Arabidopsis thaliana: one gene and its partner. Each later gene encodes a partner of the first gene's protein in a complex. Each region holds a gene or a part of one and is shown in the gene's direction. Other genes may lie near its edges.

The links.
Region 2: VRN5 (region 1) and MSI1 share a complex: the UniProt entries of both Arabidopsis thaliana proteins name them as parts of the plant homeodomain / polycomb repressive complex.

The regions. Positions count from the first base shown.
Region 1 is NC_003074.8:8,875,259-8,880,251, reverse strand, and holds VRN5 (Fibronectin type III domain-containing protein), read left to right. Parts: upstream 1-1,770; 5' UTR 1,771-2,080; coding exon 2,081-2,505; intron 2,506-2,584; coding exon 2,585-2,877; intron 2,878-2,954; coding exon 2,955-4,045; 3' UTR 4,046-4,468; downstream 4,469-4,993. UniProt on the Arabidopsis thaliana protein: Involved in both the vernalization and photoperiod pathways by regulating expression of the related floral repressors FLOWERING LOCUS C (FLC) and FLOWERING LOCUS M (FLM).
Region 2 is NC_003076.8:23,554,351-23,558,779, forward strand, and holds MSI1 (Transducin/WD40 repeat-like superfamily protein), read left to right. Parts: upstream 1-1,661; 5' UTR 1,662-1,761; coding exon 1,762-2,106; intron 2,107-2,209; coding exon 2,210-2,536; intron 2,537-2,701; coding exon 2,702-2,854; intron 2,855-2,991; coding exon 2,992-3,116; intron 3,117-3,228; coding exon 3,229-3,324; intron 3,325-3,415; coding exon 3,416-3,644; 3' UTR 3,645-3,895; downstream 3,896-4,429. Other genes in the region: TTL (transthyretin-like protein), read right to left, coding at 196-629, 806-962, 1,048-1,149, 1,230-1,511; FHIT (FRAGILE HISTIDINE TRIAD), read right to left, coding at 3,999-4,118, 4,191-4,289, 4,392-4,429. UniProt on the Arabidopsis thaliana protein: Core histone-binding subunit that may target chromatin assembly factors, chromatin remodeling factors and histone deacetylases to their histone substrates in a manner that is regulated by nucleosomal DNA.

The DNA.
Region 1 (4,993 bases):
CAATCTCCATCTTTCATGTTATATTATTGTCATTATCTAATTTTGCGTACATACACATGCATGCATCTATTTTCTCTGAATCTCTAATCTATATCCCTTTTTTGTTTTGTTCAATTCCACTCTATTTTGTAACATTTTGAATCTATCTCGTTTGTCATATATACAAATTAGTGGGGATGCTTTTCTTTTCTCCATACATTCAAAACGATAATAATCATATGACGAACACTTCACTGAAATGATGACTATTGTTAACTAATTCATTGAGACCAAATTCTAAATTAGCTAGATTAGTTATATTCATTTTAGATCACTTTAATTAATCCATATCAAGGTTTATGATGAGTTTTCAACTCAAACCCAATCAATAATAAACGGATAAAATCCTTTTGATATATTTAAATTCATATTTTATTTTGATGTGAGAATTCTTATCAAATTTTATGTGTTTTTATTCCACAAATACTTTTATATCCCTATATTTCATTAAATGATACGTTTATACTAACACCAAGTGGTTGTCGTTACCAAGTTTAATATGAAATTTATAATCAGTCCTCACTAAATAGTAAATACATGCACATGCTTAAGTTTTATAATTAGTTCTGATAGTCCTCAAAGTCTAATAATAAGTTTATAAGTTTGACCACGAATCTGAATTTTAAATTAACTCGTTATACATCTTAACTTAGAATATTGATTTGGTTAAAAACTTGTTTATAATATTGGATTCTGAAGTATTTTACAAAATCAGTCAGTACATAGTTACTTGGTCGTGCAGAGTGTGGACCATAGGAGCCCCCTCTATGTTATAGCCTGATACGTTGCCTCGTTTACCTAATCTAGCTATGAAATGGATCAGCTCATTTTATGGATTCCATATTATTGCACGTAATATTCACTCTTTTATCAAGAACATATATCTTTTAGTACAACTTTGTTAATTCACTTATTTGCATCTTCTAAATCCGTCTCACATTCAGTATAAACCATAATGATTTTTCATAAAGTTTATGTGTGTTAGTGTCCATACTTAAAATCAATACATGACTAACATAATCAAACTAATTTTTTTACTGTGAATTTTTTTTTATGGGATCTATATTTTTTGTAGAATACGAAAAGACTAATTTACATTGCATATTAAAAAATCTGTTTTTCTGTATCGAAAAGGCTTCCAAAAGTTTTCACTAATATACCAGCAGTATCAATCTCTCCATAGTAGAAGAACAAGTAGAAGACCAAGTCGCTGGTTTTCTTAAGATATCTTCTCTGTTGTTCCCCCCTTCTTCGTTCCTATCGCCACCTTCGACATTCACTATTTTTCTTTTTCTTTTTTTTTTTGTTTGAGAAAAAATGAAAATTTGTTTTAAGAGACCATGATAAAATAATAAAAGACAACTAAATAAAAAATACTAATTATATAAAAATAATATCCTCATATAATAATTATGTTATGTGGCTCAATTGGCCAAACTGGAACCTAACCGTAATTATTAAACTGAAAAAATGATATAGGAATGTGTTTAGTTTAATTTATATAATATACGAATTTGCTTAGTTTTATACTTTTATATATGTATAAAATTTACATGTGTGTAAATATTTACTAGTTATGGACACTCCGATATTCGGATACAAGGATTCGGATTGAGAAATTTAGAACCACTCCGATATTCCAAAAATTCGGTTTTGATTTTAAAACCATGAATTGTGTTCTTCCCTTTTTTTGTCCCTAAAATCTCGAAACTAAGAAAATGGAGGCCCTTTAAAGAAATAGGCCCAATATGATACATGTTATAAAAAAACAAAAAAACAAATGACACGTGTACCCTAGAATCTCTAACTTTCATCTCCTTCCTCTCTCTTTCCCCCAAATTTCAGCCGCCGCGGCAATGTTTTCTCAGGCGACGCCTAAATCTACAGCCACCTGAAAACTCCTCCGTAATCTCAATCACCGAACCATGTTTCTCAATTTCGACATTGAATCAAAAAAGACGAAACAATCCTTGTTTCTCGACGAAGACATCTGTGAAGAAGAAGAGCTACAAAGACTTTAATTTTTTCTTTCTGAGCAAGTATGGATTCATCATCGACGAAATCGAAGATCTCACATTCACGCAAGACGAACAAAAAGTCAAACAAGAAGCACGAATCAAATGGGAAACAACAACAACAACAAGACGTCGATGGTGGTGGTGGGTGTTTGAGATCATCATGGATCTGCAAGAATGCATCGTGTAGAGCTAATGTGCCTAAAGAAGATTCCTTTTGCAAGAGATGTTCTTGTTGTGTTTGTCATAATTTCGATGAAAACAAGGATCCTAGTCTTTGGTTAGTTTGTGAGCCTGAGAAATCTGATGATGTTGAGTTCTGTGGCTTATCGTGTCACATTGAGTGTGCTTTTCGAGAAGTCAAAGTTGGTGTTATTGCTCTTGGGAATCTGATGAAGCTTGATGGTTGTTTTTGTTGCTACTCATGTGGCAAAGTTTCTCAAATTCTTGGGTAAAATTTCTTCCTTTACTCTTTGTTTGATTGCTGTAATTGGCTTTGTATAACTCAATGTGCGTGTGTGTTTATGAAGATGTTGGAAAAAGCAGCTTGTGGCAGCAAAGGAAGCACGACGACGTGATGGACTGTGTTATAGAATAGATTTGGGTTATAGACTGTTGAATGGGACTAGTCGGTTTAGTGAATTGCATGAGATTGTTAGAGCTGCTAAGTCTATGCTGGAGGATGAAGTTGGACCTCTTGATGGACCTACTGCTAGAACTGATAGAGGCATTGTTAGTAGGCTTCCTGTTGCAGCTAATGTGCAAGAGCTTTGCACTTCTGCAATTAAAAAGGCAGGGGAGTTGTCAGCCAATGCAGGTAGAGGTTAGTATTGGAGATATGTTTATTGCAATGAATCTGAAAGAGAGAGTAATGAAATAAGTTCATATATGTTTTTGCAGATTTAGTTCCAGCTGCGTGCAGGTTTCATTTCGAAGATATTGCACCAAAGCAAGTGACTCTTCGTCTGATTGAGCTACCTAGTGCTGTAGAATATGATGTTAAGGGTTACAAGTTATGGTATTTCAAGAAAGGAGAGATGCCTGAGGATGATTTATTTGTTGATTGCAGTAGAACTGAGAGGAGGATGGTGATATCTGACCTTGAGCCTTGCACGGAGTACACATTCCGTGTTGTCTCTTACACAGAAGCTGGTATATTTGGCCATTCGAACGCTATGTGCTTTACGAAGAGCGTTGAGATATTGAAACCAGTGGATGGTAAGGAAAAGAGAACAATTGATTTAGTAGGTAACGCTCAGCCCTCAGATAGAGAGGAGAAAAGTAGCATTTCCTCAAGATTTCAAATTGGGCAACTTGGGAAGTATGTGCAGTTGGCTGAAGCTCAGGAGGAAGGCTTGCTTGAAGCGTTTTACAATGTAGATACTGAGAAAATTTGTGAGCCGCCAGAGGAAGAATTGCCACCTCGAAGGCCACATGGGTTTGATCTAAATGTAGTTTCAGTGCCAGACTTGAATGAGGAGTTCACTCCACCTGATTCTTCTGGAGGTGAAGACAATGGAGTGCCGCTAAATTCGCTTGCTGAGGCTGATGGTGGTGATCATGATGATAACTGTGATGATGCTGTGTCTAACGGTAGACGGAAGAACAACAACGACTGCTTGGTTATATCAGATGGAAGTGGTGATGATACCGGATTTGATTTCCTCATGACCAGGAAGAGGAAAGCAATTTCAGACAGTAATGACTCAGAGAACCACGAGTGTGACAGTTCGTCGATTGATGACACTCTTGAGAAATGTGTGAAGGTGATCAGGTGGCTGGAGCGTGAAGGCCACATTAAAACAACATTCAGGGTCAGGTTCTTGACATGGTTCAGCATGAGCTCAACCGCTCAGGAGCAATCTGTTGTGAGCACATTTGTGCAGACTTTAGAGGATGATCCAGGTAGCCTTGCTGGCCAACTTGTCGACGCATTTACTGATGTTGTCTCCACCAAAAGGCCAAACAATGGAGTAATGACCTCACATTGATCAAGCTTCCCATTGATTCAACCACATTCTTTCTTAGTATGAATAATATGATTAGAACTAAATAGTCCATGATTTCTCTAACGTGGATTCGGCTATTTATCATCAATTTGGACCACAGGATTGACCACATTGCAAATCTCTTTGGATTGGGGTTTAGATTTAGGATTTGACATAATAATATTTTAAAAAATCTCCTTAGGGAGAGTATTTTGCCTCTGTTCCTTGTTTCTGTTCATATCTAAAGAGGTCCTGCGAACCATTCGCTCTGTTGTGTACTAACTCGTGTAAAGTGTCAATTTCATCAACTTCTAAAACAATATCTTGGTTATATTGATTGATCGTTTCAGATTTTCAAATGATTACATCTGTTATTGTTTTTATGCAAAAAATGTTATTTTCAACAAACCAAAATAGAAAGTTCAGGATTTTTTTGTTTGAGTAACCATTATTTGAGGGTGTTTTCATTGATTATTTAGTTGGGGATGTTGTTGTTAAGATTCCTTACTTGAGGGGTAGTTTGTTTCATTAATAACTAGATGAATACCCGCACTACGTGCGGGTTTATGTATTACTATTTACAAATTGTTTTATATAATGTCTGTTCATATAAAGTAAAGTTGAATGCATCGATTTTGAAACATAAATATGATTTGTAATTGTTTTCAAAAAGTCCAACTATATTAGTTCATCTGAAAACGAAAGTGCTTGAGTTGTTTTTTATTGTTGTTTTAGATTCTCAGTTTTTTTTTTAATTTATATATCTTTGTTCTTTTGGTTATATATTTAGTTTGTGAGACGGTGAAATTTTAGAAAATTTGTTTTTTACATTAAAAATATAACATGTCTTTATTAATCATGTCTCTGCATATCCAATCTAATCATATTCAACTTGATGTTATTGTAAAGTTTGGTTAAGTTCTTGTCATAATCTTATATCTTACGTATTAG
Region 2 (4,429 bases), on another chromosome or scaffold:
TTTCGCTAATTCATTGTTTGTTCTACAGAACTACAAATCCAAATAAATACTCGAATAGACATTATTTCATAGCAATTTTTATACATGTCGAATAAAGACTTCATTTCATAGCAATTTTGATACATGTTCCCGTAGTGGTACAACCAAAACAAAATGTGTTGGAAAGTTGGTGCCGCAGACAGCAGTAGCATAGCTCTAGCTCCCACGGTATGTGGAGAAAGAAAAAGGTGCAAGCAACAGTGGGACATGGAAATGCTCCCATTTCTGTGATTCTGTAACCTGAAATACAATGGAAACATAGGGAAAGAAGCAGCCTGGGGAATACTTTGCAGTGTCGAAGCTAATCCTATATGTCCCTGGATTCAAAGCGTCAACCAAATCCATCAGTGGCCCACTGCGCCCATCTCTATCAGTAGCTGATGTGCCCACACTGGACCAGACCCCACCACCTCCATGAACAAAGGAAGGACCGGTAGTACCACTCCACACTTCTAAGTGCACTTCAACACCTGCAGCTGGAGCACCACGTGAGACGTCTAAGACATGAGTCGTGATCGGTGGCCTACTTCTCTTGGGAGCTTTTGCTTCAGCTGCAACATTCAAATGCCCTCCAATGATTCTCAGACGATCTTACAAAGCGAGAAAGTAGAAAAGGTCACACAGATAACAAAGATAGCCATAAGGGTAAATCCTTGTATTCCAAAAGACACATACTTGATATCATACTGAATCCTAACAGGTTCAAACCCACACAGTCAAACACAAAACTTTGACAAGGAAAAGATTTGGTAAATCATCAATATACCTTGAGGTTTTGTTGAAACAGGAGAGCTAGAGCTGTCAGTTTCTGATATAACTTTAGCCTTATCGGAGAACAGCTTTGCCATTCGTAGCTCTGTTATTTTCATTTGTTCCATAGCAGCAATCTCAAGCTCCACTATTGGCCTATTTTCATACCTTTCCTGAAAAAGAGACGATTTGATGAATATGTAACTTTCTCATTCACTCACACTCAACAAAAACTGATTTGGAAATGCAAAAGTTGACCTTTAACGCATGGAGCATCTCAGCGTGAGTCCTGCCAGAAGCGCAAATAATGAAGATAAAGCCAAACTTCTTTTTGTAAAGTACATTCCATTCGGCAAGCTCCTAAGAAATTGAAAACAATTGATCATCAGAAGAAGAAATCACTGAAGAGATGAAGGAAAAAAAAAGTGAAGATCCATCACCTGTAAAGCAGAAGCAGAAGTTGTGGCAAAGGCGGTTGACTGTTCTGATACGCTCCGACGAGCAAAATCGGAGTTGATAGAAGGTGAAGGAGTATTCCCAATCTGAGGATGAGCAGAGAAAGCTTCAAGCCAATCTGTCACATTAACTTGGTTGAACCAGATGTCTCTTGCAGTATATATTGCTTCTTGAGAAGTTAACGGTCCAGACGTAGACATCTGCTTCGCGAATTCGGAGCTTCCACAGCAAACCTTCCATTCATCTTCTCCGATCTCCATCGCCATTTTTTCTCTCTTTTCTCCAATCCTCACTTCTGTTGACTGGTGTAAGATCAAAAGTCATCTAATTGGGCCTTTTCATAAACGGGCTTTTCAAAAATGGGCCTTTTCTTTATCTTCTTCCTTTTTTTATTCATCATCTTCTATATGTGAATTATTCAGAAACAGAAGCGAGAAGTTTCTTACAATTTGTAAAGAGATCTGTTTTAGGGTTTTGCCTTGTTCTTGTGGCGGGAATAACAAAGACATCGCCGATATGGGGAAAGACGAAGAGGAAATGCGAGGTGAGATCGAGGAGCGACTAATCAATGAAGAGTACAAGATCTGGAAGAAGAACACTCCTTTCCTCTACGATCTCGTTATTACTCACGCTCTCGAGTGGCCTTCACTTACTGTTGAATGGCTTCCTGACCGTGAAGAACCTTCCGGTAAAGACTACTCCGTTCAGAAGATGATTCTCGGTACCCATACCTCCGAGAGCGAGCCCAATTACTTGATGCTAGCCCAAGTTCAGCTTCCTCTTGACGATACCGAGAGTGAAGCTCGTCAGTACGATGATGACCGCTCTGAATTTGGTGGCTTTGGCTGTGCAACTGGAAAGGTGCGATTTTTTATTTTTGTTTCTCATTTCCAACTTTCTAGATTTGATTCTAGGGTTATAACGAGGTAAAGGATGATAAATGTTAGTTTGATTGCTTGTGTAGGTACAAATTATCCAGCAGATAAATCATGATGGTGAGGTTAATCGAGCTCGCTATATGCCTCAAAACCCTTTCATAATTGCTACCAAGACAGTTAATGCGGAGGTCTATGTTTTCGATTACAGTAAGCATCCATCTAAGCCTCCTCTTGATGGGGCTTGTAATCCTGATTTAAAGCTTAGAGGTCACAGCTCTGAGGGATATGGTCTCTCTTGGAGTAAGTTCAAGCAGGGTCATTTGCTTAGTGGCTCTGATGATGCTCAGATCTGCTTGTGGGATATTAACGCTACTCCTAAAAACAAATCTCTGGACGCTCAGCAGATTTTTAAGGTAATGCTTTGGATTTCTATTCGTTTTTAGTTTTGTTTTGTATCATCTAGAAAGGAAGGAATTGCACCCACTTAACGGAATCAGTTACACTTATGAAAGCTCATAGATAGATATTCAGGTTGGTTTCTGTGTTTTCCTTGCTGATGATTATTTTCTGAACTTAAGGCTCATGAAGGGGTTGTGGAAGATGTTGCATGGCATCTGAGACATGAGTACCTGTTTGGATCAGTTGGAGATGACCAATACCTTCTCATATGGGATCTGCGTTCTCCATCTGCCAGTAAACCAGTACAGTCTGTGGTTGCTCATTCGATGGAGGTGAGTTTGCAATATATTAGCTTTAGATACAGATAATACTTCTGGTTTTTAAGCTTGCTTTCCTTAACACTAAAAACCATTGAATCATATTGCCTCGTATGTATTTGCTAATTGTTGAGTTGTTTGAAATGCCTTAGGTTAACTGCTTAGCCTTCAATCCATTTAATGAGTGGGTTGTGGCAACAGGATCAACTGACAAGACTGTTAAATTATTCGATCTACGGAAGCTAAGCACCGCTCTTCACACATTTGATAGCCACAAGTAAGAATGATACGCCATAAATATTGCCGCTTTGAGATGGATTTTGTGTTACTAAGAAGTATTTACAAGTTACAGCAACATCACTAACCTTAATTATGTGCTTGATCTCCAGAGAGGAGGTTTTTCAAGTTGGTTGGAACCCAAAGAACGAGACTATTTTAGCTTCATGTTGCCTTGGTAGAAGACTTATGGTTTGGGACCTTAGCAGGTTTGGGCCGTAGACTTTAGTTCTTTAGTTTAATGTTCATGTATGGTCATGGAGGAGCAATATTGATATGTTTGAGGGTGTCTTATGATAGGATCGATGAGGAACAGACAGTGGAGGACGCAGAAGACGGCCCACCTGAGCTGCTGTTTATTCACGGTGGTCACACTAGCAAAATTTCAGATTTCTCGTGGAACCCTTGTGAAGATTGGGTTATTTCCAGTGTTGCTGAGGACAACATACTCCAAATATGGCAAATGGCTGAAAACATCTATCATGATGAGGATGACGCTCCAGGGGAAGAACCATCAAAAGCTTCTTAGCTTGTTATTTAGTATCCAAAGCGCACTGATCTTATGGGACAGTATTTATTTATACATCTCTGCTATTGTTTAGTTCAAGTATTTAGTGTTCATTGTGTAAAATGAGGCATGAGAGGATGGTAGCAAGTGGGAATTTTTCTTTATAACATGAAGGAGTTGATTCTAATCTCACTAAGTAGTGTCAACCAAAGCTATAACTCTTAGTTTATACCCAGATTGGGCGACATTAGAAAGAAATTACAAATTTGAATCAAAGTCTCTGACATAAAATTTCAAACTGAAAGTCACTTGTCACAATGGTCCTTATTAAAGCTACTGGATAGCTTGGTTTGATTTGATATTGATAAATGATAACTAGCAATCGAAAAGAGATCTGTATTGGGAAGCCTCGTCAGCCATCTCCTGAATGCTCCTATCAACCCGGTCTTTATCTAGATCAAGCTTCTGCTTCAGTTCCTTCTCCTTCTCATCAAGCTACAAGAAGATACCACCATAAGATTTGTATAAAACCAAAGCTAGGAATGTGATCAAAATGCAACAACTTACAGCATCATAGATTTCATCATTCTTCTCAAAGTCACCACCTTTACGAGGCAAGATATGAATGTGTACATGGGGAACAGTCTGTCCCGCTTGAGGGCCATCCTAAGCCATTTTCATGAAACCAAAGTTAGATCGTTTCAATTCCAATCCATTAAGATTTAGACGCAAGAAACAATGACGAAAGAAAGGAGATGTTTAGTTTACTTGGATGGCTAATGTGAGAGAAGACGCATTATGGAAGG